Linked DNA regions of Rattus norvegicus. The protein of the gene in region 5 purifies or fractionates together with the protein of the main gene of each other region. This does not show direct contact. Links are inferred from orthologs where the notes say so. Each region holds a gene or a part of one and is shown on either strand. Other genes may lie near its edges. The genes, in order: Atp2b4, Gnpat, Vdac1, Sympk and Bsg.

The links.
Region 1: the proteins of Bsg (region 5) and Atp2b4 purify together in Homo sapiens (affinity purification with mass spectrometry; 3 studies listed by BioGRID and IntAct, counting the BioPlex papers as one, with this or other methods). This does not show direct contact. The link is inferred for Rattus norvegicus from reciprocal best matches to the Homo sapiens genes BSG and ATP2B4.
Region 2: the proteins of Bsg (region 5) and Gnpat purify together in Homo sapiens (affinity purification with mass spectrometry; 3 studies listed by BioGRID and IntAct, counting the BioPlex papers as one, with this or other methods). This does not show direct contact. The link is inferred for Rattus norvegicus from reciprocal best matches to the Homo sapiens genes BSG and GNPAT.
Region 3: the proteins of Bsg (region 5) and Vdac1 purify together in Homo sapiens (affinity purification with mass spectrometry; 3 studies listed by BioGRID, with this or other methods). This does not show direct contact. The link is inferred for Rattus norvegicus from reciprocal best matches to the Homo sapiens genes BSG and VDAC1.
Region 4: the proteins of Bsg (region 5) and Sympk purify together in Homo sapiens (co-immunoprecipitation; 3 studies listed by BioGRID and IntAct, counting the BioPlex papers as one, with this or other methods). This does not show direct contact. The link is inferred for Rattus norvegicus from reciprocal best matches to the Homo sapiens genes BSG and SYMPK.

Annotation. Positions count from the first base shown.
Region 1 is NC_086031.1:47,715,852-47,721,769, forward strand, and holds part of Atp2b4 (plasma membrane calcium-transporting ATPase 4), read right to left. Parts: intron 5,764-5,918; coding exon 5,656-5,763; intron 4,201-5,655; coding exon 4,024-4,200; intron 695-4,023; coding exon 520-694; intron 1-519. UniProt on the Homo sapiens protein: Calcium/calmodulin-regulated and magnesium-dependent enzyme that catalyzes the hydrolysis of ATP coupled with the transport of calcium out of the cell. By regulating sperm cell calcium homeostasis, may play a role in sperm motility.
Region 2 is NC_086037.1:69,725,266-69,731,183, forward strand, and holds part of Gnpat (dihydroxyacetone phosphate acyltransferase), read left to right. Parts: intron 1-1,986; coding exon 1,987-2,169; intron 2,170-2,436; exon of another isoform or gene 2,437-3,335; coding exon of another isoform or gene 3,336-3,503; intron 3,504-4,671; coding exon 4,672-4,848; intron 4,849-5,520; coding exon 5,521-5,650; intron 5,651-5,918. UniProt on the Homo sapiens protein: Dihydroxyacetonephosphate acyltransferase catalyzing the first step in the biosynthesis of plasmalogens, a subset of phospholipids that differ from other glycerolipids by having an alkyl chain attached through a vinyl ether linkage at the sn-1 position of the glycerol backbone, and which unique physical properties have an impact on various aspects of cell signaling and membrane biology.
Region 3 is NC_086028.1:37,030,052-37,036,769, forward strand, and holds the start of Vdac1 (voltage-dependent anion-selective channel protein 1), read left to right. Parts: upstream 1-3,157; 5' UTR 3,158-3,220; intron 3,221-6,718. UniProt on the Homo sapiens protein: Non-selective voltage-gated ion channel that mediates the transport of anions and cations through the mitochondrion outer membrane and plasma membrane.
Region 4 is NC_086019.1:87,823,154-87,827,977, reverse strand, and holds part of Sympk (symplekin), read right to left. Parts: intron 4,723-4,824; coding exon 4,632-4,722; intron 3,980-4,631; coding exon 3,878-3,979; intron 1,526-3,877; coding exon 1,338-1,525; intron 607-1,337; coding exon 430-606; intron 297-429; coding exon 201-296; intron 1-200. UniProt on the Homo sapiens protein: Scaffold protein that functions as a component of a multimolecular complex involved in histone mRNA 3'-end processing. Specific component of the tight junction (TJ) plaque, but might not be an exclusively junctional component. May have a house-keeping rule.
Region 5 is NC_086025.1:10,647,296-10,653,813, reverse strand, and holds the start of Bsg (basigin isoform 1 precursor), read left to right. Parts: upstream 1-2,808; 5' UTR 2,809-2,899; coding exon 2,900-2,966; exon of another isoform or gene 2,967-3,654; intron 3,655-4,609; exon of another isoform or gene 4,610-6,518.

The DNA.
Region 1 (5,918 bases), on a different chromosome or scaffold from region 5:
TCCCTGGGCACTGACTTCACATCTAAAGGGGCGGAGTTAGAAGAGGAGGGGAGGAACAAAGCAACAGGCAGAACCTGAGGTGAAACAAAGAAAAACCAAACCAAACAACTCAAGGAGAGAAGCAGCAAGCAATGCAGAGGGCCAATCAGAGAGAAGCAGCAAGCAATGCAGAGGGCCAATCAGAGAGAAGTAGCAAGCAATGCAGAGGGCCAATCAGAGAGAAGCAGCAAGCAATGCAGCGAGCCAATCAGAGAGAAGCAGCAAGCAACGCAGAGGGCCAATCAGAAAACCGGGTTATCGTCTTCAAAATAGGTAAGGTTTAATAACTTCCCAACATTAAAAAAATAAATAAAACGAAAGGTGTATCCAGCCTGGTTTTTCTTCCCTTAAGTCAAAGGGGTGGGTGGGTGGGGGGTGTACCCAAAAAAGGACAAGTAACCACGGTTGGTTAAAGTGGATGCCGCGTGCTGTCTTGTGGTCGCTTTAGTAAATCATGCATTGTAATATACTCTCACTCACTGCCCACAGGAGGAGGTGTAACGGCAGAAGAGGTGGAGGGGGAGGTTCTGACTGACGCAACTGCTTCTGAATAGGAGCTAGGAACCAGTTTTACATCAAGTTGTTGACTCAAGTTCTGTCGCCTTAGGACTCCCTTAAAAGAGGCTCCCGTCTGGAATTTGTTAATTACTTCAATCTGCAAAGAATCAGAGAGTGAGACAGCTTTGCTCCACAGTCAGAGAGAAGCAAGAGGGAAGGCAGGGTCAGGAGGGCCGGGGAGAGGGGTAGGAGAGCAAGAGAGATATTCCCTCAAACCCAGAGCAACAGGCAAGGGTGGGGTAGGGAGGGCAGCGATTGCAAACCACACGTCATTTAAAGAAATTTGCTATGGGTTTCCAAACGCCTAGCTAGGATTCAGTTTTCTTTTCCCTGTAGCCTCGGATGCACAGGTGTCCAAAGGCCTTTAAAATGCAAAAGAACTTCTCCCCACCACTGACAGGTAGCCTTTTCATTATGTTGACCTGTACTCTTAAAAAACAAGGCATGCAATTTGACATACCAGAAACAAAGTATATGTTAGTAAAATTTAAGGCTCAGGAGCATCTAAACCAAATAAGTCAACTAATTGTTGTTTTTGTTTGTTTGCTTGCAAAATTTCCAGGAAATAAAGACGTGTGTAGAGAAGAATGGGCAGTGTAGTAGTCCACACAGAGTTGGCCTTGGTGAAGACTGCTAGCCTGTGTGCCTTGGTGTGGAGGAGGTGTCTTTCTTGACGCTTCCTCTACTTGCAGTGGAGCTCAGGATTCTGGTGGTCCACGAGACAGAGCTGCACTCATGGCATTACTTAAGCACTGGAGACCTTCACTGGCAGACTGGTGCTGGAGGTGCTGGGAGGCTGCAGCTCTCCGCCCACCTGCCTATCAGAGCAGCCCTCTGGCTTTCAGCTCCTTCTTAGGGATGGGGGCAATTCATATCACCGCTTTCCCACAGTAGCAATGATCTGGGGTGTTAGTCAATTTACCACCCTTTTCCTTGACCCCTACATAATAAGGAACAGATAGAAAGGCATTCCTGTATCTTTCAGAGATCTGTTGAGATCCTGTGACTGCATCCCCAGGAGACAGGTGCCTCCTGAGTCAGGTGCCTGTCCTTGTACACAGCTTCTGGAGAAGCCAGGAAATGCTTAGGGTGGAGAGAGTGTGAGCTAAACTGCTTCCCCTCATAGGCACTTTTCTGCTACAGTGGCCTGCAGGCTGGAGCTGCAGGAGGTAAGGGCAGCCCCTGGGGTTGGGTGGGGTTTCAGTCCCAGGAAGAAGCGCCTTCAGAATGTTACAGGGTTGACCTTCCACAAGGAAACTGCATTCCGAGCAAGCGAGTTTACTGTTCTGAGAGTCCAGCACTTTAATTCTTCAAATGTTTGCTTTCTAGTGCTTTTACCTCCCCCCTAACTAAAGGGTAAAGGTGAAGGGGAGGAACGGCCTAGAACCAGGGAAAGGGGAATCCCAGCCAGGACTGGGCAGTAGCTTGACAATGTCTCCCACCCCACAGGTTGCATTGGGGACCAGCAGCCAGACAGGAAGGGTTCCTGAGACCCAACAACTGATGGGGGTGGGAGGGCTTTGGACACGGAAGATGCAGTGAGTACGCTCAGTCTTACTTGCTCAGTTAGGTGCCAGTCACAATGGCATGGATGGATCCTGTCAGTGGCATCTTTAATAGGCTGCCATTGGAGCCTGAGTTTAGGCTTTTGTTTGTTTGGTTTTGAGGTAGGATCTAGCTACACAGCCCAGGCTGGCCTGGAACTAGGAATCCTTCCACCTCAGACTCCTGAATGCTGAGGTCGTAGATGTGTACCGCCAGGGCTGGTCTCAGGTTTAGGCTTTAAAGTCTATCTGGCCCATCTATCTTATGCTCTAGCAGGGGAGGACGTGTATGCCTAAAGGTATGTGTGCCTTGAGATCAAACAGAGGGGTATGGAGAGGGACTGCTAACTGGAAGTGCAGGAACAGGAAGGGCCATGAATCTCAGCTCCCCAGAAGGAAGGAAGACTGGAAAGAAGGAGGCTCTAGAATGAGGGATCCTGGCTAAAAAAAACACAAAAAAACAAAAACAAAAACACAAAACCAAAAACAAACAAACAAAAACCCAAAACCAGAAACACCACTCCCCCCAAAACAAAACAAAACAAAAAACCAAAACAAAACAAAAAAACAAAACAAAAAAAGCAGTCATACAGTAGAAAAGGAGGTGGGTGATCCTGAAGGGAAGAAAAGCAAAATGAGGTTATTTTGAAAGGAGTAGACCTGAAGGACAGCAACAGGGGCTTTAGAGATGGGAGTCAAGGTTTACAGGCACCCAAGGGACTCAGCGGAGGTGGGGACTTGATATCATGAGGTGGTATATGTAGGCCATGATACAGTTCCCTTCCTAGGAGAGTGAGGAAAGGAGCCCAGGGTTTCTAACTGCATCTTGCTCATTTTTCTGCCTGGTATCTTCCCCAGAGGAGGACAGTGCCTACCAGGTAAGTAGCTTAAACTGCGAATTCATTTGTCTTCCCTGTACACTAGAGGGGAAGGGGAAGGAAATGGGGGGAGGCTAGCCAGGCGGTTTTCTAAGCCAGCCAAAGGCCAAATTTTGAAAATGAAATATTTTGATCTCTTGCCAACTAGGAGGAAGAAACAGGCCTTGCTCAGGAGAGTCCCCTTAAGATCTCGGGACTGATGGTTTGTTCAGGATTTTGGGACTAAAACAATAAAAGGTTGAGGGGTTGGAGCAGAGAAAAAGCGTTATTACTGCCAAGGCCAGTCAGCTTCACCCTGAAGGTGCATGGAGAGTGTGGGGGCGGGCGGGGGGAGGGTATGGTTAGGGCTGCAAGCAGGGTACTCACTTGTACTCCGTTTCAGAAATTCCCTTATTGGGAACAAGTCTGAATCCTTCCAAAAATATTAGGCACTGAAAGACTGCTGTTTATAGCTACTTAATCATCAGATTCCCCAGAGAGGACTTGCATCAAGGCGGAATAAAGAAAGAAGGGGAGCCTCTTTAACAAAGACCTCCCCAAATAACAGCTCTCCCCACAACAGCAGCATGACGGGCATGCCTAGTGACTGCCAGGGATGCTGGCTTTTCCTTCCAGTTTTAGAAAATCATCTTCCTTCAGGGCAGGGAAGGGACTACACGGTCCCTATCTTGGGGTCAAGTCTGGTGCTGGAATGGACCTTAGGTGGGAAGACAGCTCCACTGACAAACCTGGGGGTACGGGGTTGGGGCTGTAGGGCTTAACCACGGCTGAGGAACTCTGTGAATTGTGGCCCATGGTCCAGTCTGTTGACTCTTCCCCCTAGAAGAATCCCCCAGAGACCTCTGGCCCTGTTGGCCCTGAAGTTAAGGAACACAGGTCACCCTTCAGCAGTGAGCGTCACAAAGGGGTAAAGGTGTAAAGTGCCAGGAATTACTGCTCTCCTACCCTTTCCCAGGATGGGGAGATTTCTTCTCCCAGGGTAAGGACAAGCCACCACAGAGTACCTGAGTCTGAATCCGGTTCAGGCCACGGACCCAGAGGATCTGGCCTCGGCGAAGCTCCATCTCGGCATGGTCGATCTCTTCCAGCCCCTCAGCGTCCTTGCTGATCTCCTCTTTGTCACTGCCATGGCCCGCCTCTTTCAGGAACTTTAGAGACTTGGTAGGTATTGCAGAGATGACCTGAGAGCAGTTACAGCCAAAGGGGCCAACAGCCACATCAGAGAAGAAAAGACATTAGCAAGCCTGAGCCAGGCCCCTGGGAGGATCCTAAGCCACAAGTCTTTCCCATCTGGACAGCACCAAGAAGCACCAGTCTGCCCAGGTTAGCCCGTTGTTCCGGTTGATGGTACTTGGGAAGGAACCAGCATTCGTGGACACACAGAAGGGGACTTGATTCCCGTAATTCCCCAGCCACACGTGCCTCACACTCTGTCTCTGTCTTGGCTCTTCCTTCCCACTGCGGTCCTTGTCTTTTTAAGACAACAGAACAGAACTACAAAGCAGACACACATCAGGAAGAAGTGGGGCCTAGGGCAAACCAAGCTGGGGGAGGGACACATAGCTGAGGGACTGAAACACTGAATTGGAACACAATTACCTAAGAGTTTCATCCCTTCCTTAACCCCATTTTTAGCTTGTGAAGGGACACTAGGGGGTTCTCAGTACAGACTTGGGATTTGCAGAGAACAGCCCAGGCCAGGACTAAGCATGGTGTTAGGGAAGGATGAACCTTGAAGCAATGATGTCATCGTTGTAATTAATATTAACACTCATAGAGCACTTATGACAGGTGTTGCCATAGTTTTGGAATAGTAACAGTTTACTAGTTAGCAACAATTAGTGGTCACTTTGTTATCCTATGTGGAGGTCCCCGATAGACAGAGTGGTTAAGTAACTTACTTGTTCATGGGGGACTGGAGAGAGATGGCTCAGTGGTTAAGAGCACTGACTGCTCTCCCAGAGGTCCTGAGTTCAATTCCCAGCAACCACATGGTGGCTCACAACCATCTGTAATGAGATCTGATGCCCTCTTCTGGTGTGTCTGAAGACAGCTACAGTGTACTCATATATAATAAATAAATAAATCTTAACAACAACAACAAAAAATACAAGTAACTTGCCCATGGCTGCTCCGTTTGTGAGAAGAAGGGTAATTCCAGCCCAGCTGTTTCCAGAGGCTGTGCTGATCTCCCCCCCCCCCCCCGGAGCATTAGTAGAACTGATTTATCTCATGTGGGAGCTGGGCTTCAAACAGCCACCATGAAGCAAAGGAGAGGCGGGAAAGCTCAGAGCTATAGCAGCACAGCAGCCCTGGGTCAGGCAGCGGCAGTGTGACGTCTGCTTTTTTATTTTTATTTTTAAAGATCCTTTAATGGAAAATTTCCACTTTTGTTTCAAAAAGCCCCCCCCCCCCCAGTCTCTAGGTTTGGGCAGAGAACCTAATGTCCCTGAAGTGAAGGCAATGGTTTACTCCAACCTGACGCCCCAAGACAGAAGGAGCTTGAAACTGCGAAGGAGGGGAAGGGAGGGAGGGGTCAGGTAAAACAGGGACCTGGGATCTAGCCACTTGTCCCTCTCATTCAGAGAGGAGAGATCTGCAGCCTTGGTGATCTGTCGAGGGCACACCACACTCACCTGGCCCCACAAAAGTTCTCCGATCCCTATAAAGAGACACCACATCCACTGCTCCATGGTGAGGTTTGTGCAGCTGAAGGGCTTACCTCCCACTTCCACGATCAAGATCTGAAACAGAGCAAAGGACAGCCCGCCACCAGGCGTCGGCCTTCCACCAGCCAAGGTCTCCATGGTGGCTAGGGCCACAGCACCCCCTGCAGGGCCCTTGGGGAGCAAGTCCTAATTTTCTTGTGAAACAGGCAAGAACTGCAGACACGGAGAAA
Region 2 (5,918 bases), on a different chromosome or scaffold from region 5:
AAAGGCCACAGTAAGGAGTCAGGAGGAATGATGCCCAAGGTGTGGGTGAGATGATGGTTAATAGTTGATTTCATGAGAATAATCAGGTTGTAGAGCCAAGCCAGACAGTGGGCAGGCTTTGGAGAAGTGTGGTGGGAAAGGGGCCAGCAGTGGATTTGGAAGCATGTCCCTGTTCTCAGCTGTGGCGGGGAAAGGGAAGTGACCCAGAGGGGGAGCATTTGTCTAGCCTACAGCCAAAGCCCAGGTCTCACCGGTAGCACCACAGAATCAGCCAAACAAAAGAAACCAAACAGCAACAAAATCCAGTGAAATAAGTGAGTGTGCCCAACGTTTGTGGAAGGCAGAGAGATGAAGCTTTCGAGGAGGAAACTCCCCAGGGGAAACTCCCCAGTTTAAACGTCATTGAATTGGAGGAAGGAGCTAGACTTTTTATTGCTGTTGATAAGAGAACACTGAATTCAATACCAAAGTCAGGAAATTTTAGAACCAAGGAAGGGAGAGAAGAATAGCAGATGCTGGCCCAGCCGCAGCAGAGGCACACACGGCATCCTGTGTGGTTGTCTTTAAGAACAGTTGTGAGTCATAGAATACAACCTGAGCGTGCCGCACTACAATTAATAAATGATTAAAGCAGGAAGCAGAAGTAACGGAAGGAGTGTAAAGGACAGAATCAGGTTGATGGACTCAGTGTGTGTCTGCTGGAGAGACAGGTAGGTCTCTGTGCTTAGGAGCAAGCATTCCTTAGAGTAGGCTCCACATTAGGGGATTACACATAGAGTTAGGCTTGTACTTTGCCTGCATTTTGTGAACTTTTAAGTAAGCCCAAATCATTTTGGTAACCAAAATGAAGATGTTATGAAACGTGGTAATTATATAATGACTAAGTTGTTTTAAAACAGTATTTACTATAAAGGAATACAGATAAAGAGGAAAGGTAAATTATACTTGGCATGACCCGTGTTTTGAATAAGACATACATGTTTCTGTAGCTGTCAGAGAAAAGTAACAAAAAAAGAAGCTACTTTTGGCTGCAGTGCTGTAGGTACTTCATGTTAACATGATGCCATAACCATGCATGGCAATCTGTCGGAAGCTACACATCCCACCAAGCTGTCTCTGCTTTTGGGAGCTGAGGGCCCGCAGTAGCCACCGTCTTGAGATTCCTGTGGGTGGATGACAGCTGTTCAGTTCGCAGTGGGGCTTCTTCTTCACCATGTCAGCTCTCACCGTGGACTGGGCATTTAGCAGCCGGCAGAGCTCACCATAGTCATCATCACCGCCACTATCCGTTACTTAGTCAGGAAAGCACTGTTGTGAGAGGGCCCTTCGCTCCGTGAAGGTGGAGTGAGGGTTTGGTGGGTGGCAACAGCTGGGCCCACAAACGCTGAGCAGGGGAGGTGCAGTGGACTCCTTGTTTTGAGACAGTCTGGTGTAGGCTGAGCTGGCCTTGAACCATGGTGGATTTTACCCGCCTCTGAAGGGCAAGGACTAGACAGACTTGAACCAGCACACCCGATTTAGCTTGGGGCTCTAATGTGTGCTTTATTTTTTTGAAGCTAAAGAGAGGCGGACAAATGAGTTTACAGAGCTAGCAGTCAGAAACATGGTGGTCAGGAGGCCGACTGCTCAATGGTGCGGTGCTTGTTAAGCATGTGAAAGGCCTCAGGTTCAGTCCCTGGTCCCACAAAACAAAACCATCCGTCCATCATTCCTGGGGGCGTAAAATCCCAGCACTTGGGAGGTAAGAAGTGGAGATGAAGATCAAGAGTTCAAGGTTTTCTTTTGGTACATAGAGAGTTCGAGGCTAGGCAAGGCTACATAAAGCCCTGTCTGATAATAACAAGTAATAATGGAGAACTGACTGTAGACAGTGATGTTGCCGGTTTTCCCTTGTCTGAGTCGAGTATTAGAACACTTGTGGTTGCCGCTCAGGTGTCACGTGGGGCAGAGTGAAGCCTTAGTAACCCTTCCTTTCCTTCTTCACAGAAAGACCTCAAAAAGTGGGATGAGTTTGAAGACCTGTTGGAGGAGAGGAGACAGGTCAGTGATTTCAAATTTGCAATGAAGTGCTACACACCACCCTTGTATAGAGGAATTACTCCCTGCAAGCCAAGTGATATCAAGTCCATCGTTCTCAATTCTGAAGAGATTAACTATGTCATTAAGCAGGTAAGAACAGTGTTCTTCAGGCACAGCCACCCTCCTCCAATGTAAGTGGGTCCGTCTGCTGCTTCCCTGAATTTACCTTATCATCTCAAGTGTACTTTTAGGTTAGCCACATGGCACTCAAATGTGTGCTGGAAGGCCAGCCGAGAAGTACCGTGGCACCAAATGCATGGCATATGATGAAACACAGCTTGCACTGAAGACCCCACAGCTTGAAGGTGCCAGTTAGTTATGAGCAGAGCTGATTTGGTGCAGGGAGCAGGGAGGGTTTGGGTTTAACCAGACCTGACAGAGGTCCAGGCTTTCCTAGTAGAGGGGGTAGTGAGAGATTTTAGCTAAACAGATCACGTCAGACCTGCACCTGAAAACTTTATGAGACGCCCCGAGGAAGCCTGTGCCTACATCTCACCCCTGTGTCAGCTGCATTCAAATCCTGCATCAGTAGCTTTTCAAGAAGCTGGGAGCCACATTTGTTTTCAGAACAGGAGGTCAGAGAGAAGGTTCACATAGAATGCTGCAAAGGTTCAGTTTGACCAGTGCAGAGGACAGAAACTGTGGTAAAATGCAGGGAGCTCCTGGGTGAGTGGGGCTCAGTGGGAGCTGCAAAGCCAGATGAAGGGCTTTGTCTGCAGTGCCATGCCCTCGGATGCTCACATGGGGTGTGCGTGCTCATGGGGTGCAGGAGCACTTCTCTGGTTTTACTTTAGATGTAGACCTTGACCCGTGCCTTTAATCCCTGTGCTTTGCTCAGACATCCATACCATGGAGATGCTGTTGGTTCGCTGTGCTTAGGCCTACTTCATGAGTGGAGACAAATTTCCTCATCGTTTCATATCAGGAACAGTACCCAAGGCATGGTTTGCAGAAAGTTAACTCCAGTTAGGCATGGCTGTGTTGGGATGGGGTGGGCTCTGGGAGACACCTCATCCTTACGTGAAACTAGGAGCTAGAGAGTGCTAAGGTCCAGGCTAGGTGTTACACACATGTGGTGGGACTGTTGCTTCTTGATCTAAGGTGAACAAGACGTAAGATTAAAGTCAGTGAGAAAGACACTGATTCCGTCTGACCCTGAGAGTCCCCCAGGGAAGCAGCACACTGCTTATTTTGTTTTGATTCAGTTCCTTTGCTGTGCTAGGAATGAAGTCCAGGGCTCTGCACAGGGTAGGCAGATGCCTACTACTGAGCTGCATCTCCAGTCGCATGCACAGGACTTTACTGTGCTGGTTTCCCTGTGCAGGAGAAGAGGCTGTAGCGCCCCCTGGGGCTCAGGCTGGTCTCAGGCCTCAGTTTCCACTCCTCCCGGACTTGCAGTAACCTTCTCCTCCATGTGTAAGAAGGTGTGTTCTTGACTAATGCACAGTACGTACACATGCCATAGCACGGCAGCTTATCATTATGAAGCATTGCATGCTGGGATAATTACTGGGTTCTGTCCTTGTAGGCTAGTGGTCTTGTAGGTTGCCAAACATTTGAGTCAGGTGAGCTAGGGGTCCATGACAGTTATGATGGCAAGTTTTCAACACTTGTCATCGTACAGAATTGCTCTCACCAATGTATGTGGTTAGTCATTGACAAAAGTGCTACTCAGTGGGGTTGGGGATTTAGCTCAGTGGTAGAGCACTTGCCTAGCAAGTGCAAGGCCCTGGGTTCGGTCCCCAGCTCCGGAAAAAAAAGAAAAGAAAAGAAAAAAAAAAAAGTGCTACTCAGTGTGTGACACCTGGCTGCTATAATCCCCTGGAGCCTAAGTTCCACAAGTCAATCATTTTGTAGCTCAGGTTGGTCCCAAGGTCTGGGGTTCTTCCGATGTTGGATTCCAGGCCTGAGTGACGACGTGGATTGGTTGGTTGCTTTTCCCTTGAACTTTCATCTCCCCATTGCTGTTCCTGCCCTGCAGTTGCTGTGGCTTCTCTTCTTCCCTCCCTCCTCCTCACCATTCCTTGGGTGGCTTGGGTTAACGTGGTTCTTTGTTTACGGGGTCACTGTTTGAGATAAGCTCTGAGGAAATGGAGGAGTGCACTGAGAAGCGGTGCTGTCCAGTACTCCTTCCTGGATCAAGTTTAGGGCAGATAAGGAGTAGACGAGGGATCCAGCAACATTGTTCTCTGTGTGTTGGCTCATGCGTGTATGTGCATCCGTGCCAGCGGTCAACCTTAGTTGCCATTTCTCAAGAGCCACGTGGATTCTTTTTGAATTTCTAGCCTTTAAACCTTCTTAAGTTGAATCATTTTTCACTGAACATAAGTGCTGTGTCCTTATGTCCTAGCAGTCGGTAGGCTGAGGTGGGAGGACGGTGAATTCAGGGTCAGCCTGTGTGCCATAACAAAGGAAAAAGTGCCGTGCATCATTTACTGTTAGTGAGCGGGTCAAGCCTTGTCCCGGAGAGCACGAGCTGTCTTGGACTTCCATCAGAGGTCAGAGGTCAGTCTGGAGTTGGTCGCAGTGTTCTGAGTGAAAGGAGCTCTGGCTTCTAGGTTTCAGACTCACCCTGCTCTGCCTTCCTTTCAGCTTTCCAGGGAGTCCCTGACGGGTGTGGATGTGCTCAGAGAAGAGGCCAATGAGATCCTGGAGGAAATGAGTCACAAACTGCGTATAGGAGCCATTCGGTTCTTTGCCTTTGTTCTGAGCAAAGTTTTTAAACAGATCTTCTCAAAGGTGTGTGTGAATGAAGAAGGCATTCAAAAGGTGAGGATTGCTGGTCTGGTGGTCTTGGCTTATCCTGTGGTATAATCCATTCTAGGATGTTTCCCTCGGACTGAGTGCTGAGGGTGGGTTGTCAGGCCCCACTGTGGGCCTAGGCGATATGTTGTCTGTGGCTTGTCCTTCCTAATGTCAGACCTACAGACTTCTAGCTTAGTCATGTAAGACTTACAGACCACTTAGTGTCACATGTTCACCGGTTACAGAGTACCAGCAGGATTTTCTCTGCTCGTGCAGATTCCTAGCCAGCATTTCCACTGTCCAGCTCCTATGCTGGTGGGATTTTTCCTGTAACCTACTCTCTTAGGATTTGGTGGTCAGGGTCAGCTTGGTGATGACACAAACAATAGACCTCGCTGCCAGCTCTTCACTTGCCCAGTCACATCCTCGTGCGCTCCTTCCCTGCCTGCCCAGATGTCTTTCTTTCTTTAGCTTATTTATTTAGAGACAGAGTATCTAGCCCATCTGCCCTTAAACTCCCCATGTAACCAAGGAGGACCTTATTTCTGACTCTGATTCTTCATCTCCCAAATGTCCCAAATGCTGAACTGACAGGCGTGAGCTCCCACTGTGATTTACTTCTCTGTTTTCTGATTAAGCTGTGATTTTAGTGACATGACAACTGAAATTCTTGAAAATCTGACTTCTGTTTTGCAGCTACAACGAGCGATCCAGGAGCACCCCGTGATCCTGCTGCCCAGCCACCGGAGCTACATCGACTTCCTCATGCTGTCCTTTGTCCTCTACAACTATGACCTGCCCGTGCCGGTGATCGCAGCAGGGATGGGTGCGTGCATAGGCTCCATCCCTGCTCCAACTCTACACACTTAGAGCTCGCTGCAGCGATGACAAGAGTACTAATCACTAAGAGAGTGTGAAGGGTACCAACTGCAGCTTTTCTGGGTCTCTGTCTGCCATGGTGTGGTGGTCAGTTTGGCCTTTGTACTATGTAGTGACTGACCCATTTCACTTAGAATGATGGATGGCCTCAGTGTTGTAGCTGTGTCTGAATTCCCTTCCCTTTTAAAGCTGAGTGATAGATAGTCCATCGTATG
Region 3 (6,718 bases), on a different chromosome or scaffold from region 5:
TTTTGAGACAGGGTCTCATGTAACCTAGGTTGGGTTTGAAGTCACTATGTAGTCAAGGATACAATAAACTTCTGACCCAGCCTCTAAAATAAAATGGTCTCACACTCATAGACCATCTCATTATTAAGAGAAAATTGCATCCTCTCTGGATGGTTTACTTTGTTCTGTGTGAGGGAGGCGGGCAACTGGATTTTGCACCTAAAGGAAAATACAATCTAAATAAATTAGGCAAAAAGAAAAAAAAAATCAACCCATTGCTCAGATGGCTGGGTAGCAGCCGAAGCCACATGAGTGTGCACTCCGGCTGCGTAGCTAATCTTTACCCCAGCTTTGGTTCCAGTCTACTTCCACAGCTAGAGAGAGAACTCCAGGGTCTCGGTGACTCCTCCCTAGAGTCAGGGGAAAGAGCAGGACTCTGACACTTGGTACTACCTTTGGCTCAGCTCCATTGAAGCCCGTGCATCGGACAAAAGTGAAATAGGGTTACTTACCCCAAAAGAACTATAGTGAGGATTGGCCCATTCCCTCAAGTCAACGAGACATCTCTGGACTCACACGGAACTGAAGTAGCTCTGGGGAACCCAAACTCAGGAGTGGGGGGGCAATGGGAAATGGGCCCAAAGCCTCTTGCAACTGCACAGTTTTCTGCTTGCTTTTCTGCGCCAACAGAAATGCAAGCCTGCCAGGGGAGCTTGCAGGTTCCGGGACATCACCCTGCTGTTTCCCCAAGGTTTTTGGATTTCCTAATTCAAATCTGTAAGAACCCGACTGGCCAGGCTTGGATCAGGTTTTCTTTTGTCTCAGACCAATCAGCCAATCAGCTTTGGCAGGCACAGTGGAGGGGAGGCCGAGCAGAGTCCAGTTTTAAAAAAAAAAAAAAAGGGTGCCTTGCTTTTACCCCTCCCTAAAGGCTGTGACTGGGAGACTGGGAGGGATCAATGAATAATCTTTCTAGTGTACTTTGATTCCAATTCCAAGAACTCCCAGGTTCCCTCCCTGTTCTAGCTAATTTTCTTTGCCTTTCTTTTGTGGCTACTTCCTTGGATTTAAAATCTTCCCTTCTGGAAGGAAAGAGATTCCTAAAAGTCAGGAAGCTACCTTGCAGGCTCCCAGGTTCAGTCCCCAGTACCAGAAAGTAAAAAACAAAACAAAACAACAACAAAACACACAAAAACCCAAAAAAGCAGGAAGCTCTCGATGATATATATATATATGGCTTCGGAAGTTCAGCTATCAGACTCACGAGGCCCCTCTAAATAGTCAACAGCTAATGGAGAGGGGACTCTTGAACTTGTGCCCAGGTCCAGGGATACACACAGGTTTTGTGCGTTGGGAGCCGTTAGGGTGATCTTTTCAGCTACTTTGATTCACCTTGTAAATAACTTCAACACAATGGTTTGCCAAAGTAGACTTTGGGTAGAATTCTTTAGTCTGTCATCTGTGCTCTCTCTACAGCAAATAGCTGTCTATGTCTCCCCAGGGAACGTGACACAAGCCACTCACTGAGTCTTAGGTAAGAGCCTTACCACTCCGGTACATCTCCAGACCGTTTCATTCTAAACCAACACTGACACTCCCAGGGTGAGGTTCCGAGAAGCCAGATTTTCTGCTCACCCACGGACACACAGTCAAAAATGGCCCACAAGCTCTCTCGGTGATTGTAAACCCTACCCAGGGCAGCTGGGGAGGCCAGAGAAGGCTACTAGAACTCTTCAGGTACCTTAAAGGTACTTGGAGGATCTTGAACATTGGCTGTCTGCCTCACAGCTGGGCATCAGGGCTCAGGGCCAAGTGTAAGATTCTTGGAGACAAATCTTCCTCGTGTCCCCAGGTCTTGTCCTTCCAACTCTGCCTCCCTGTTGTGACTCAGCAGCTTTTGGTGCCTGGTTTTTAACTCTGGGAGTGGATTGGGTGTTTGTTACAGGGTAGGTGTGCAGACTTGAAAAGCTACGTAAAAACTGTGGTTCTTTGTAATGCAAAGCAAGCTCTAGGCCACCGAGCTTTGTGTCTGCCCACATCCTAGCCCGAAGGGCTTACCCTCATAGTCTAGATCTGGGCTTACGCCCGTTCCCCCAGCCCCCATCAGTTTCCTTCGTTCAGCCCACGGAACAGCATTTTAAATCTGGAGTGGCCGCCAGTGTCCCAGCTGTCTTATTCAGCACAGCAGGTTGTGAGCAACCACCTGACGTCTCCTCTTCTGGACCCCAAATGCCTTGATTCTCTTAGGACGTCTGTCAATTGAAGGCAAAGGGTGTGAAGTCTTCACTCACATGCGATTTCACAAATTCTCCAAGCCTGATTTGGGTTTGGCTTGGTGTGGCACACTGGGAGCCTCAGCAGGGAAGGAGGCCATGCGCTGATGAGACCAGGCTGGGAGAAAGTGACCGTCCGCTCTACACTGCAGGAGAGCAGACATCCAGAACCCGCGTGACCTCCTCATGTAGTGAGACTCCGCAGTCTCACGAAACTCACTTTGTCTTTTCTAATTTCTCAAATGCTTGGGAAATGGCGGAAAGCTGCTTCGACACCAGGGAAAATTGCACGCAAATGTGCAGTGCGGAGCCGGCCCTCGGGAGAGTTTAATTTGCAATTCACTCGCTGACGCACGCGGGCGTGTCGCAGGCTCCGGAAACCCAGTGTAGCGAGGTTGGAGCGCAGAGGACAGTAGCCGCTTTGCCCAATGCAGCGCCACCTTCGGAGCCCAGTGTGTCCCCACTGGGCCTCGGAGTGACTCGCGGCCTCGAGGCTGCGCAGGAGCCACAAGACTCCGGGCGACCCTATTCGCTGAGGTCCTTAGGCCACTGCTCACTGTGCCGGAAACTCCCCTCCCCCTCTTCTCAAATGCTTCCAGCAGCCTGGTGGCTCCAACAGTGACCCGCGTGTCCCCGCGCACGCACACACCTCACGCACGTCAGACCCACGCCTCCCTATCGCCCCGTGCCAAAGTGCACGCAGGCTTTTACGCGCGGTCGCACATGATCACAGAGCCGCAGATGGTGCGAACGCTGCTCCCGGGTGGGAAGAAGACCCCGGGACTGGTCTGGGCGCTGTCCGGGGTGGAGCCGAGGGCGGAGCTTGGAGTCCGGGCGCGCAGAGCTGGGGCGTGTCCGCGCCGTCGCGATCTGCGCCGCCCCGCCCTCGGCCCGTTCCCTGCGCTCCCAGCCTCCTCGCCGCAACCCCCGCCGTAGCTGCCGCTGCTCTCGCCGTCACCGCCTCCGAGGTAGGCGCAGCGGAGAGGGCCCGGGCTATGCCTGGGTCCCCAGGGCCTCGGGCCGCGCTCCTGGGGAGTCTCTAGGGAGGCGATCGAGGGAGGATCGGGCGAGGGCGCCGGGCCTAGGAGCTTAGCCCCGGGAAGGGTGAACCAGGGACGATCATCGCGGGCCTGGAGAGGCAGCGGGCTTGTAGAGGAGGCCTGGAGGGCAGGCGTAGAGCGGATCTCCGGAGGGAGAGATCCTAGCTCGATCTTTCAGAGCGCCTGCATTTGGAAGCGAGGGGCTATCCGAACATGCGAGGGGCGGAAGGGCAAGGGCGGCCGCGTGGAGGCCGGGCGGGCCGCGGGTCTAGGTGACCTTTCCCGGCGGCGCCCTCTGGCTCTAGATCCGGTCGGCATGGATCTGGTAGAGACCCTCCCACGGCCCAAGCCCTTCCCCGCCAGCTCCGAGGGCCTGTGCAGACCCAGCTTCCTTCGCCGAGAGGACGCGCTCCAGGCATGGCCATGCCCTGGATCCCCTGGCCCCTACATGCCTTAACCGGCCCACGCCCGGAGTAGGTGGCGCCGGGTCCCTCCCGTGCATGCTAGTGCCTTCCCGGGCGGAACGGGCTGCCCTGAGTGGACTTAGGCCGCAGGAACAGGGACCTGGGCCTGGACTGAAAGCGAGACCCCATAGGGAGCCATATGCCTGGCCTCCTTGGCCTTAGGGACGGATTCCGTGTTCTGTGTCGCCAAATGCAACTGTGCATTCTGGAAACTGTTTTCAGGGCCTGACATCAGATTGGAGGCCTGCAATTCTACATGGTTTGTCCAAGGTCACACTGGTAGGAAGATCTCAAACTTCAATCTTCTCATCTGCGAAATAGGAGCAATTATATACACTTCACTGAGTTTGGGGGAAGAATAAAATGATCCGATTAATACGAAGCCTTGGGTCATGCACAAGGACACCTTAGAAACCTTGACACTTACCCTAGGAGTCGTAGGAGCTTTGGGGAGGGTTGAACTCAACCTCTGCAGACCTTCCCCCCCCCCCTTTTTTTTGGTTCCACACGGTGTACTGGAAGGGATTCCCTAAATCTACAGTCGTGTTATTTTAACGCCATTGTTACCGTGTCTGTAACAAGCATTTGGGCAGCACCAGGTACTGAATAACTGGAGAATAATTCACCAAACACTGTCTGTTTTCAGACTGACAGCCGTTAAGCTGGAACACTAAATCTGACTGCAGACCCAGAAGATCCAAGGCTCCTCTTTCCTTGACCAGACAGATGAGTGAGGGGCTTTACTCAGTCTTGTTTAATAGTAAGCCAGGCATAGCTACTGAAGGCCTGCCTGTTTTTCTCCAGACTGACAAAACTCTAGGGCCAACTCAGGCTTACCTTTAGGGTCTTGGGTGGGACCACTTGGCACACATTAGGTGGCTAAGAAAGGTCTGTGGGGTAAATTCACTTAAAAAAATGTCTACTTAATGTGTGTGGGTTTTTTTTGCCTTTGTGAGTTTATATATATATATGCAGGTGAACTCAGCCCAGAAGAGGGTGTTGGCTCCTCTGAACTGGAGTTATAGGCAGTTGTGAGCTGTCGCACGTGGGTCTGGGAATTAACTACCAGGTATGGTGGGTGCACATTAAATCGTGGGATCTTAAACACCCATTTGATGACGTAGACCGCTCACTGACTTCTGGAAGCTCTCCTGGCCTAGCAGAGTCAGATATTATAAGAGCTACGACAGTACACGCTCATCTACAGCAGGAATCACGAGGGACGAGAAGCAGCTCCTTTGACATTCTACAACATCCCGAGTCCTCAGGGAACTTGTCAGACTGGTGTTTCTGGGCTTGAAGCTAGAGTGATATGGGTGAATGGGATTCGAGCCAAGGCCTTGGGCCTGTTGTGCTCTCCCCTTTCTGACAAGGTTGTGTGGGTATGACAGCTAGAGTAAGGTGCCTGGCCCCAGTGGTAGTCGAGGGTGCTCACAGGTGATTTGTTTTAGTTCTGATTTCCAGAATGAGGCTTTTTAGACAGGGGTTGTTTGGGACCATGTGGTCCTCATGCTGAAGCTGAGGCAGGTGGAGACTCTGGACTCTTGAGCTGGTGGTAGTAAGGGCTTGCCCCCCCACCCTCCCACCCCCTCATCACTTTGCTCTCTGAGGACCTTTGCTGTTGCTGGAAATCCCCACAGTATGACAGACACCTTCAGTGGTAGTGACTGAGGGAAACATGTGGCCAAAGTGAGGAGGGTAGCCCCTAGGATTCCAGAAAGGTTGTTGTACTGTGTGTGGGGCTTTGTGCTTTCCCCAGGTTCCTGTGGTAGATGGATGGTCTCCATCCCACTGTTAAGTCACAGCATGTGAGCACTTTACTTAGAGCTGAGCTAGAAAAAGTTCCAGAAGGGCAGCCTGGGCTCTCAGTGCTGATCTGACTGACAAGAGCCACAGAGGCTAGCTCAGATGAAGTAGCTTTCTTGTGTCTTAGTTTCTCTGTTATACCGTGGTGGGGTTTTGTTTTAAAGAATTAAATGTTTGGAGGTGGATAGCTCATGTGGAGGTCAGAGGGCAACTTCTGGGCCTCCACCCAGGCCTTGGGATCACCTGGGTCTGCTGTAGAAAGGTGACTGTCATCGCTGGCCATCCTGGTGTTCTGTAGCCCTGCTGGGTGTACTTGGCGCTTAGGCACAAGTTCTCTGCTAGTATCCCCCACACTTCACTGCTGCTGCTTTGAGGAACCCATAGGTGTGAGTGCCCCTGTAAAGCAGAAGTTACTGACTGGTTGGGAATGGAGAGAGGTACACTGCTGCAGGCCGTCTGTAGGGGCAGTGCTTGCAGGAATCGTTTTCCCTGGGGCGAGATGGGAGGTGTTCTTCCAGGACCTGGCCAGATAGTATCTAACTAAACAATACCTCTTTATGGGTGGGGAGGACTCTGGACCCTGTGGTTCAGATTGAGCCTTTAACAAGATGCTCAGAAACCATTATTATAATAGTAAATATACAAAAGGAGAGCTTGGTTTGCTCCCTAGCCATATGGCAACAGAAACTGTCTATTGGACTGGCTCATATGGGACTTAGAATGCAAGCCCAGCATGCAGGAAGCCCTGGGTTTGACCTTCAACACCGGGGAAACTCAGTGTGATGGGGTGTACACTCAGAGGTGGAGGCAGGAGGATCAAATTCAAAGTTATCCTCGGTGACATAGTGAGCTTGAGACTCACTATGGGCTACATTAGATCCTGTTTCAAAACAAAAACAAACCAGCCGTGGTGCATACCTTTAATCCTGGCACTTGGGGGCAGTGGCAGAGGGGGTGGTGGTGGGTAGAGGCAGACAGAGCTCTGTGAGTTTGAGGCCAGCCTGGTTTACAGAGTTTCAGAACAGCCAGGGCTACACAGAGGAACCCTGTCTCGAAAAACCAACCAACCAAAGAAACCAAACCCATTATTTATCCGTCTGCTCATCTCAATCGATAAGTCGAGCTGTCATCTGTCATCTTAACAACTCTACTTACG
Region 4 (4,824 bases), on a different chromosome or scaffold from region 5:
CCGCGCATTAGGGTGGAGGAAGCTGAGCACTGAACGCTGCTGAAAGCAGAGGAGAGAGCACACCGCACAGACTTTCCATCCTGGTACAGAGGGTGTGGGGTGGGTGGCCATGCTCCTTTACCAGGGAAGAAATCCTGGGAGACTGTGGGTTTAATGACCAGGCCTTCTGGGGCGAGACGCACAGGCCACATTGCCCTCACCTCTTCCAGGGACCCTGAAGGTGCTTCCTTGACTTCCGGCTCCTGCTTGCCACTGGCCTCCAGGATTGTCATGATGGAGTTGGGGATGTGTGCTTGCTAGGTGAAGGGAAAGGTGGGAGCCAGGGCTGTAGAGCGCTCTTGCCAGAGGCACCTCTCAGCAACCCAGTACCCAGAACCAAACCTTCCAGAGCCCTTCTGCTCACTTGGCTCCACTCTCCCACCCAGGTACCTGGTGGGGGGTGAAGGAGCGCACATGGGCCAACAGTGGCTCCCGGAGCTCAGGGCACTTGTCAAAGACTGCGCCAAGCTGCTGTGGAGGTAGCTGCAGGATGACCTGGAAACTCTGGGGCTTGGTGCGCTGGCAGCACTTGATGAAGCCCTCCCATACCTTGGGGTACTTCCATACCTGTGGGGCAGGAGGGGGCCATTAGGCACAGGCCCAACCAGCCACCACCTTCCTGAAGACACTGCCATGACCAGGACCCATATGCTGTCATATGACACCTTACTCCAGGCTTCACACACCTGCCTACCCAGTAAACTATCAGGACAAGACACAGGGAAGGAAGGAGACCCTGCCTCCAGTCCCTAGGTTAGGACAGCACCACTTCGTGTTGTTTTCATAACCACCTCTGGCAGGTGCCATCGGCCACACTTAATAGGCTGGAGGCACGGGACCTTTGCCAGATGCTGCACAGGGACAGCCTGTGGTCCGACCCCAGCCTGGTATGGAGGATGGATTTAATTACCATTTCCACGGTATTTCTAAGAGTTGGTGCGGCATGCTCGCAATCCCAGCACTTGGAGGGCTCAGGCAAGAGGATCATCACAAATTTGAGTTATGGTTACTCTGGGCTACATAGCAAAACAACCCAACCTAATTCTAGTCTCCTCCAAGATGGGAAGCTTTGAGCTGAGCTGTGTGCCCTGCAGTGCCTAGAGTAGGGTAAAGGGAGGTACCCACACCTCTCATATCCCTAACTGCTCTCAATGGTCACCCTGTAGCCAGCTGCAGGGAGTGGTGAGGGAACACTGCTAGCAGGACAGGCGGTCCAGGGATAGATCCTGCCTTCCAGGCATCTGAGGTTTGTCCCCTTGTGGCTGAGTGGCTGAGTGCCTGGGGCCAGGGCAGGTTACCTGCTTCATGATGAGCCGGGCCAGGATGTTCATGACGAAGCCCCCCAGGCGGGGGTACATGGTCAGGGACTGGATGACGGTCCGCATGAGCAGCATGGGCAGAGGGCTTTGCTCCATCAGCTGCTGCATCACCACAGCCAGCACTTCCGATGTGTACACATTCCGCTCCGCAAAACACAGGTTGGTGGCTGTGAGGAGGCGGAGAGTGGCCTGTCCTCTCTCTGCCTGGATGTCCCTCATTAAGTGGGAACCCCACTCCCCAAGCTTCTCTACCTCTACCACACAGGGCCCTTTATGAGGATGCTTAATGACCCTGCCCTAGAAGGCGGAGGTAGGTGTGTCCAACCCCTGGTGGACCAATCTGGAGGACACGGCCTCTTCTGGGGACAAGCCCTGGGAATAGGGCAGAGTATGCTGCTGCACCCTGGGGCCTATGAGTGGCTGTAACCCACTAAGGCGAGGGAGGGAGTGCTGCCAACACCTCTAGAACCCTCAGAATAGAGGTGGGTCTCTGCCAGACGGCTGACCAGTCATTAGGGTCTGTGATGGTGTAAAGCAAGTACCATGAGGGACGCTACAAGGGTAACAGGCAAGGGAGGGATAAGAGGTGGGGGGAGGGCCCAACCCAAGCCAGGTCCTCACAGGTTGTGGAAAGATGTCACACTGAAGAAAGCATGGAGCAGGTCTTGCTTGGGGTCTAGCTCCTGGGAGTGAGTGGCAGGGGTAGTGTCAAGGTCAACTGGGTTGAGGTATGGTCCCGGGAGCTGCCTCTGAAGTCCTTCCCCAAACACCACTGGCCATGTGAGTGTGTCAACCAGGAAGTCTTTATTGAGCCAGAAGAAAGCCCGCCTGCCCTCCCAATCCCTGAGAAGCCAATGGAGGGAAGGATGATCCTGTAAAGAGGAGGCCTAAAGAGAAAGGAGGGACCTTGCAGCAGACACAGGGCTGAAGGGCAGAGGAGAGAGGCCTGCCAGAGCCTGAGGGGGCGCCCGCTGCTGTGGAGAAATGTCCACTGCGGTCCAAATGGGCCCGACACCGGTCTGTCTACCCAGCCTGTGCTTCCCACTCAACCTCTCGCCTTTCCCTCCAGCAGCCCAAGAGTCTCCGAAAGGCCAGCCTGTCCTCCGCCCAGAGGCTGCATGAGGCCAAGGCCAGTTTCCTCCCTCACTTGGAACCCTCTGCTCAGCCCTAGATCTGACAGGCTCAGCTATCACCTCGTCTATTGCATCTGCTTGCTGGAGGTAACCCCACTTCACAAAGCCCTTCCTGAGCCCTGGCCAGGCTGGGTCAACTGTCAGTGTCCCAGTGTGTCCCCAGCATTGTGCTGGGATCCAAGAAGGCCAGGATTTCACCTGATGGGGCAGACGGAGGAGATGTGGTGAGAGCTGTGGAGTGCTAGGGCCTAGGAAGCCTGGGGATTGTGAACTGACAAGAATTCCCAAAGAAGCTACCGGAGTGTGCACCTGGGTAGCTTTTGGCAGGGCCTTTTCTTCCCTCTCTGTGACTAGATTTCTATTCTAGGTCCAAGATGGCTGTGTCTTTCCAAATCCCTTCAAATTGTGCGCAAACTGCCCTTGGGAATAGGCTGCTATGGGGTCAGTTACTCACACTGCATTTAAGGATCAAGAAGCAAGTGTGTGGATGGAGACAGAGCACTTACCTAGCACATGGGAGGCTGTTCTATGTTCATTCCCAGCGTGGTGAAAATGTGTGTGTGTGTGTGTGTGTGTGTGTGTGTGTGTGTGTGTGTGTGTGTGTGTGTGCACGCGCGCCTGCAGTCCACTACACCCCTCCTCCCTTCCCCTGCAGCCCCCTCTGCCTTGCCTTCCCAGCCCTGTTCTGTGAGGCTGCTAAGGGAGGCTAGGAAAGCAACCCCTGAAGAAGCACTTCAGGTGGGGACAGAGAGGAAGCCACGCTAAAGTGAGCAGACAGGTTAAATGGTAGGATAACAGGCAGGGCCCTTCTGGGGACAGAACTGATTCTGGATGGCCCAGTCTCTAAGGGAGGGAAGAAAGGAGGGAAGATGGTGATTTCTTCCCAGGAGAGGTTCATGAGCAGAGCCCTTCTTGGTTTGGCTCCAGTTTGGCTCAGACTGTGTGACCCTGACAACTGATTTAGCTTTTGGGAACTCCATGCCCTATCTGAGCATACTTACCAGATGTGGGTGGCAGGAGTGGGCTTGTAGCATGAAGGGAAAGCCTAGCTCACAGGCAATGCTTGGGCAGAGGAAGCCTGCCAGTACATCACCAAGCCCCACTATGGAATCCTCTGCTGCCTCAGCTTGGGCCTGCGCTTGCTCATGTCTGCAGAAGCCCTGTTCCTCCTTGCTTCCTTGAGTTCCTCAGGGTAGGTGAAAAGAGGGGCAGCCTGCACTCCCGAGGACCACCTGATGCCGGGGCACATGTGTCTATGTGCTTTGTGTGGCGATCAGGATGGGACAGGTCAGGCATCAGGCCAGTCTTTGATGCAGTAGAGCCATGTGGGTGACAAGCCCGGCCTGTCTGTGGGAGCTGGGTCCTGTGGAAACAGGGGTGCCTCACCTTTGATGATGGACTTCATGTCACACTTTACAGAGTCAATATTGTGCAATGCAATCAGCAGCTCTCCCGGATTCAGGGGGGACAGGGCAGAGTTCCCCTCACCTGCAATGGTGCCGACAAGAGAAGGAGACAGGACAGGACCTCAGCAAAGAACTGGGCCAAAGACCAGCCTTGGGCAAATACAAGTGAGGCCTTCTCTGCTTCTTGGCCTGGGGGACAGTATACTGGGCAAAGTGGCCTCAAGTCTTCACCACCTTTTAGAGCTGCCTTGCTGTGGCGCCACTGTCCCCTCTGTGCACGGGGCTGTACACCCAGGATGCAGGCAGGGACCAGCTGGCCTAGGACTGACTCCACACAGCACATGATCATGGCAGCTACAGGCTGGGTTGGGTTAGGACAGGGCCCGGCTCACTGAACAACAAAGTGGCCTGAACTCCATGCTGTGTTGGGACAGAGTAGAAAAGGATGCACTTAGCAGAGGTGGCCTCCTGTTAGCGGAGGGGAGACCCGATGTGCCATGGAGCCACGTCATCCTGCTACTACGTCTCTAGGTGGCCACAAGGGCCAGGGATGAGAAACCCATGTACATCTCTGGCTATTTTTCCACCTCAAACATTTTTATTTGTTTCTCACCATGGTGGACAACAGAGACACTGGTCTTTAAGAACACTGTAGCCTTCCTGGGCCCTTCCCACGTGAGCCCCTGTACAGTTAGGAGGTAAGCTGAAGGTTGGCTAGGAGGGAAGGCACCTACCATGCTGGGTGCCTAGCAGGCGGTTGAAGACCTCCTTCACCACAATGGGGTTGAGTTTGATGAGCTTAGGCAGGGCCTGGATCACCTCTTTCTAAGGGGGTGGGAGGAGGAGAGTGATGATGGGCCCACTATCCACCCATACCTGAAAGGCCTCTAAGCCTCAGGATACATGTTCCCCGCCTCGCCAAAGCTG
Region 5 (6,518 bases):
ATTCTCCCAGCATTCCTCCGTCCCTGCCTGGTACGGGGGGAGGGGGGGCCTGCCCCTCCCCCAGCAGCTCTTTCCAACACCCTAACTCTCTCTCTCCCTCTCTGCACTTTCCTGCTCCATGCACCTTCGTCTTTCTCTTTCCCCTCCCCTCTGCCTCCCTCCTTTGGGACCAGTGAACCCACCTTAGAGCAGCTTCCCAGTAAACCTGCCTTTCTATACTTTAATTTGGCTCGAATTGGCTCATTCTGTGGGTGGAGAATAACATGTGGGTCTGAATGGGTGTTTTGCCCGTATGCCCGTTGGTGCACCACTTGCTTGCCGTGCGGTGCGTGGTAGTCTGAGGAGAGCAGAAGCAGGCATCAGATTCGGAGTTAGAGATGTCTGTAGGCTGCCCTGTGGGTGCTGGAGATAGACCCATCTGTCCTGGAAGAGCAGTCAGTACCCTTAAACAGCTGAACCATCTCTCCAGCCCCCTTCCGTGTGTGTTTTTGGTTGTTTGCTTTTTGACAGGGTCTCCTGTAGCCCAGGGTCCGCCTCGAACTGACTTTTTGCCAAAGGACACTGAGCTACTGGCTTCCAGTCACCAAGTGCTGGAATGACCGGTATGCACCGCCATTCTAGGCTTTCCACATCTTTATCTGCTAATCGGACTGGTCAGGGGACGTCAGGCGGCTGAGATGAAGTAGAGCTAAAGGGCTTCCGAAGGCTGTGGGCCATGTAGGGTCAGGGAAGACTCTAGAAAGCCAGGCCTGGGAGGGGGCGGGGCTTCACTGTGTAAGCACAGGGCAGGGCTTCCAGGCCAACCTGAAATTTCCCAGAGGCCCAAACAGGCAGGGGGTGAGGAATTCCAGCCCGCCCAACCTTGTTTGTTTTGACCCTAAGGGCCTTTGATGCCAGCTGGCCCTTCCCCTGCCCTAACCCTCATTCTGCACGTAGCTCGGAAAAGCCGTTCCATGGAGGCTTTAGGATTCTGGGTAGTTAGTGCTGAGGCCCCCAAGCCTCTGAGAGGCAACTGCTGCTGTGGGTAAGTGGATCACCAGGCTCATAGTGACTTTCTACTCGGTCCTGGCCCCTCTGACACCAAGCTTTGTACTGCTCCTGGACTGGCCTCTCGCTCCTGCCCATGGCTGTGTGTTTTGAGATATTCCCGAAGACCCTGGCATGGTGTGCACCCCCCCAAAGGAACTGCTGACCCTGGAAGCTGCTGCCAAACCCCTGCTTGCTCCCACCTCCCACTTTTATTTTTATTTATTTATTTGGATTTTCGAGACAGGGTTTCTCTGTGTAGCCCTGGCTGTCCTGGAACTCACTATATAAACTAGGCTGGGGGTTGGGGATTTAGCTCAGTGGTAGAGCGCTTGCCTAGCAATCGCAAGGCCCTGGGTTGTTCGGTCCCCAGCTCCGAAAAAAAGAAAAGGAAAACAAAAACAAAAACAAAAACAAAAAAAAACTAGGCTGGCCTCGAACTCACAGAGATCCGCTTGCCTCTGCCTCCCAAATGTGGGGATTAAGGCCTTCGATTTCAGCGACAGAGCCAGAAGCTGGCCTGGTATACAGAGTAAACTCCAAGCCAGCCAAGTCTACACAATGAGCACCTTTCTCAAGCAAACAAAACCCCCAAGTTGTGATACAATACAGGCCACAAAATCAGATTAAAACAACAAAAAGGCAAAAATAAAATTTAAAAATAAGTAAGACAAGCTACAGCTGGGAGACGGCTCAATTCTTTTTTTATATAAGATTTTTATTTATTTTATGTATGTAAGTACACAGCCGCTGTCTTGCTGTCTTCAGACACACCAGGAGAGGGTATCAGATCCCATTACAGATGGCTGTGAGCCACCATGTGGTTGCTGGGAATTGAACTCAGTCAGTGCTCTTTTTTTTTTTTTTCCTTGAGGGGATGGAACCCAGGACCTTGGGCTTCCTAGGCAAGCGCTCTACCACTGAGCCAAATCCCCAACCCCCAGTCAGTGCTCTTAATCACTGAACCATCTCGCCAGCCCAGAAAGATTCCACTACTGGCCCTTACAGAGATCAAACCCACTACCTTGGCGTTACTAGCCCCACACTCTAACCGAGCTAACCGGCCAGACATGGCTCAATTGTTAAAAGTGCCTGCTGCTTTTCCAGAGGACATTTCAGTTCTCAGCACCCACATCAGGCCCATAATACCAGCTCCAGGGGATCAGATGCCCACTTCTGGCCTCTGTGGCACATGCATTCATGTGGTACACACACACTGAGGGACATGCTTACAAATAAATGAATAAATAAATAAATAAATACTTTTTTGAGATAGGGGCTTACCACTTAGCCCAGGCTAGCCTAGAACTGGCTATGCAGACCAAGCTGGCCTCAAAACTCGGATATCTGCCTGCCTCTGCCTCCTGAGTGTTGGTATATAAAAGGCGTGTGCCACCACCAACCTGCTCAAATATAAGTTGTTTTGTTTTTTTTTTAATGAGCAGGAGAGTTGAGCGTCTTAGAGCAGGCATTTATCCCAGCACCCCGGAGGCAGAGGCAAGTGGCTCTTTGAGTTCGAGGCCAGTGTGGTCTACAGAGTAAGTTTCAAGACAGCCAGGGCAGCACAGAGAGGGAGGGAGGGAGCGAGGGAGAGGGTGAGAAAGCGCGAACGAGGGGAGAGCGCGCCCGCGAGCACAGAGGCAGTCCAGGCCGCAGGCCCCGCCCCTTTGAGGGTGTGGTCGTATGATCACGTGCCAACGCTTCCCCACCCGCTCCGCTTCTGTAGTGCGAGCCTGAGCGGCGGACGCTGGATACGTGCCTGCTCGCTGTGCGCCTGGCGCCCCGCCCCGCGACGCCGCGTGCGTACGTGCTGCGTGCGCGCGCCCCACCCTTCTTATAGAGCCGCAGTGGGGCTGCTCTTGGACGAGGCGACATGGCGGCGGCGCTGCTGCTGGCGCTGGCCTTCACGTTCCTGAGTGGCCAAGGCGCCTGCGCGGCGGGTAAGAACGGGGTGCTGGGACCGGGCTGGGGTCACGGACCTAAGGTGAGCCACAGATTTCGGGGACTTGGTGTAGGGAACCACGGCTTTGGTTCCCTACTCGGGCTCGGGGCTGGAGATTTGTGGAGGAGTAACAGTGCCTGTGGATGACCCTCGAATTGACCCCAGACCTCGACTGAGCGACGAGGTGGAGGGGGATGATTTTAGAGATGAGGCCCTGGAGAGACAAATCAAAGACTAGATCTCTGGGGGAGACATCCTAAGGTTATGGGAACTGGAGGTGGAAGGAACCGCCCGCCACCTTGCGGTAGTCCCCACCTGGACATGGCTGGAAGGTAATCTAGAGGACTTGGAGTAGAGAAGTGTGAGTGGAAATGACCCCAGATTTTGGCTAGCTGGAGATGAAAGGAGCCGCTGCCTTAACTGTCCCAACTCCCGGAATAAGGCTGGGAGGTGACCCGGGAGGTTTGGGGATACAATGACTATAATTGGCTTAGGTTTGGGGGAGTTAGGGAAGTGTGGGAGGAGGTGACCCTGAAGCTGGAAGATAGATTCTGGGGCAACATCTCCAAGGTTGAGTAGGGGCGTCCAGGGTCGAAGAGCTATTATCTTGACCATATTGATGTCTCCACCTGGGTAACAGGGCTGGGAAGCAACCCTGGAGATTGAATTCCTCCTGGTGTTGGGGCCTGAGGATAAAAGAAGCCACCATGTTGAGGATTCCTCCACCTGAGAGACAGGGCTGGAAAGTAATCATGGGCAGGAGGGAATTGCAGGATATCTGGGAGAGATTTGTGGGACCTGGGTGGTGGACAGCAGTGTTTCGGGTGGCTTTCTCCAGGTTTGGAGAGATCTGGCAGCCGAGGAAGCTGCCACCTTGGGGAGTTCCCAAATTTGGAAAACCTGGGAGTCGATGGATCTGCAATCTTGGTGTATCCACTCTGGGAACAGGGTGGGAGTCACAGTCCCTAAATTAGGAGGGCATCGAGTTAGAGAGACCTGCCACTTTAGTGTTACCTGGGTTCCTGAAAGGCTGTCTCCAAGGTTTGGGGCTACTAGGGGGACTAGAGTGGGAGGAGCTATCATTTCAGTGTGTCCATGCTTGGGGGACCATGTGGGGAGGTGGTTCAGGAGATTTGGGATACAGAAGTGCCTGGCAGGAGGGCCACAAGTTTGGGAATGTGGGTGGGAGTGAGGTGGCTAGAAATTTGGTGATGTGAGGATGGAGAAAGGATTGGGAGACAACCTTGGGGTGGAGGAAGTTGCCAGTTGCTGACCTCAAGGCTTGGAAGATGTGGTTTGGAAGGGGGATGAGCGGTGAGCCTGTGGGCTTCTTGGGGTATAGAGGTGCCTGGGAGTGATGTGTCCTAGGCTTGGCGGGCTGCCTGGGATCACACATGGAGGGTGGGTGGGGAGTTTCTGAGTGGCAGTTCCCCTCCCTAGGTTTGGAGGAGTCTCAGTCAGATGTCCCCAGCAGTCCCTGCCCTCCTTGGGGTGAGCTTGCAGGCTCTCCATACTCCACAGGGGCTGTATCAGACGACCCTGGCAATGACCCTAGCAAAGGAAGGAGATGGAGGTCCCCTCTGGGCTGGGACCAGAACTTGAGGCTGCGCCCATCTGTTCTAGGACTGGTCAGGGACTTACCTGGGAGTGAGGACTGTGGATTATCGTTCTTGATGGGATTTCCACTGGCCAGGGCCCAGCACATTCAGCTTGCTCCCAGCATGGAGTTTGGCCCATTCTGGCCTTAGGTCCTTGCCTGATTGAGGCTCAAAAGGGCACGGGGCCTAGGTGGGGAAAGGTAGGTATTCAAGGTCATGGCAAGGTTGAGTGTGGAAAGGCGGTGTGGTAGGCCTGGAACACATGGGCTGCTCTCTGCTTGCCCCAGACAGCAGGCCAAGGGCAGAAGCAGAGCTCCACTGGAGAAGTGGGCCACTGACCACTGCCCCATCAGCAGCAGGTACAGGAGGGGGCTGTGCCAGGCAGCAGAGCCTGGGGTCAATCCTGACCCGCCTTTTCTGGACCCTCTTCCTTACCATCAAAGCATCTTGAGGTGCTCCCATGAGGCTGGCTCTTGGGTACAGGTAACTGTCCCCTGGCAAGATGGAAGCAGTTGATTTATTCTGTCCTGGGTAGGAAAACACAGTGGCTTTCTGTCTGGGGTTCAGCGGACCTTTGCACTGCCGGGAGCCAAGCACAGAATGTAGCTTACGGGCAGGTCCTAGCCCTTCCTGGGAACAGAGCCACAGCCTACAGCCTGGGCAGGGCCCAGGTCAAGCTGTAATGTGTCATTTCCCACTGTACAGTGGGGGTGGGGGTTCTGCTCAGAGGTCAACCCTGTGGCATAGACACTTAAGGTTTCCTTGTTGCGTGAGCCTGGAATTTGATGCTGGGTCCCTTACATGCTGGTCTAAGCACTCCACACCCCAGTTTCACATGCTTTCTCTGTGTAAGTGACCAGGTTAGCCTCAGACACTCACTGCAGGGTGTTGCCCCAGCGGTTACCCAGATCTGATTTAACCCTAATTCCTCAGGTGTCTGACATGGTGAGAGAGGTGATAAGGCAGCAGTCTAGGTCAGCACTGGATGGCAGGAGACTAGGTGTGGGCCCGCCCTCCAGAACAGCGCCCCCTCCCCTCCCTGCACCCTGTGGTGCTGACTTGTTTACCCAGTGCCTCAGACTGGCCCTGCTCTCACCTGGCTTGAGTAGGCAGGAAGGAAGGTAACTGAGGCAGGCGACAGGCTGGAAGCTAAAGACCCTGTTGAGGCTTCTAAGGTTGGGATCGCAGTTAATGGTCACCCCTAAGCAGTGCTAGTGAGGCTCTGTGTGGAAAGGTCAGCAGGAGATGCCAGGGCAGCCTGCATTCCTGAGACCAGATCATGGGTGGCCTGGCATGTTAGTCTCGTGGTCCTTGGAACATGACGGTGTTGTCCTAGATGTACGACACCCATGGTGTAGTGTCTCTTCAGAAACCCCACTGGAGTTGGGGCTGCCCTGTACCTGTATTTGCTGACAGCCCTAGATGAAGTGGTGTTGATTCAGACGTCCTGTAGCAGTAGACAGAGAAGGGGACTGAGGGAAGGGCGCTGCTGTGACCTTCTCCTGACAGCCTACCACCAGCCAGGAACTGCAGGTTGGGCAGTCTGGAAGATCTCGAATGTAGGTTACCAGGAAACCATTCTCTACCGAAGCAGCTGTGTCATTCAGACCCCTGAAGCTTTGGGGCAAGTGCTTACCTCAGCCCCCACCCCCAATGCAGGGCCTGAGGCCCTAAACTTAATACTTGTACCTTCAGATAACAACCACGCCTTGTGTAGGCATGCAAAGACCTGCCCTCCCCTGGGACATGTGTTTGGGGCAGGCATACAAGTCTGAGTGTCCCAGGCCCTTATGTAATGCTGAAGGCCCTATTTTAATTTGTCATGTAGCCCATCTGGCTGGAACTCATAGCAATCCTCCTGCATGCATAGGCCTCCTGAGTGGTGGAATTATAGGCGAGCTGCCATGGCGCCCACTGTATTTTCTAGACACACTTAGTGTATGCGTGCGTAC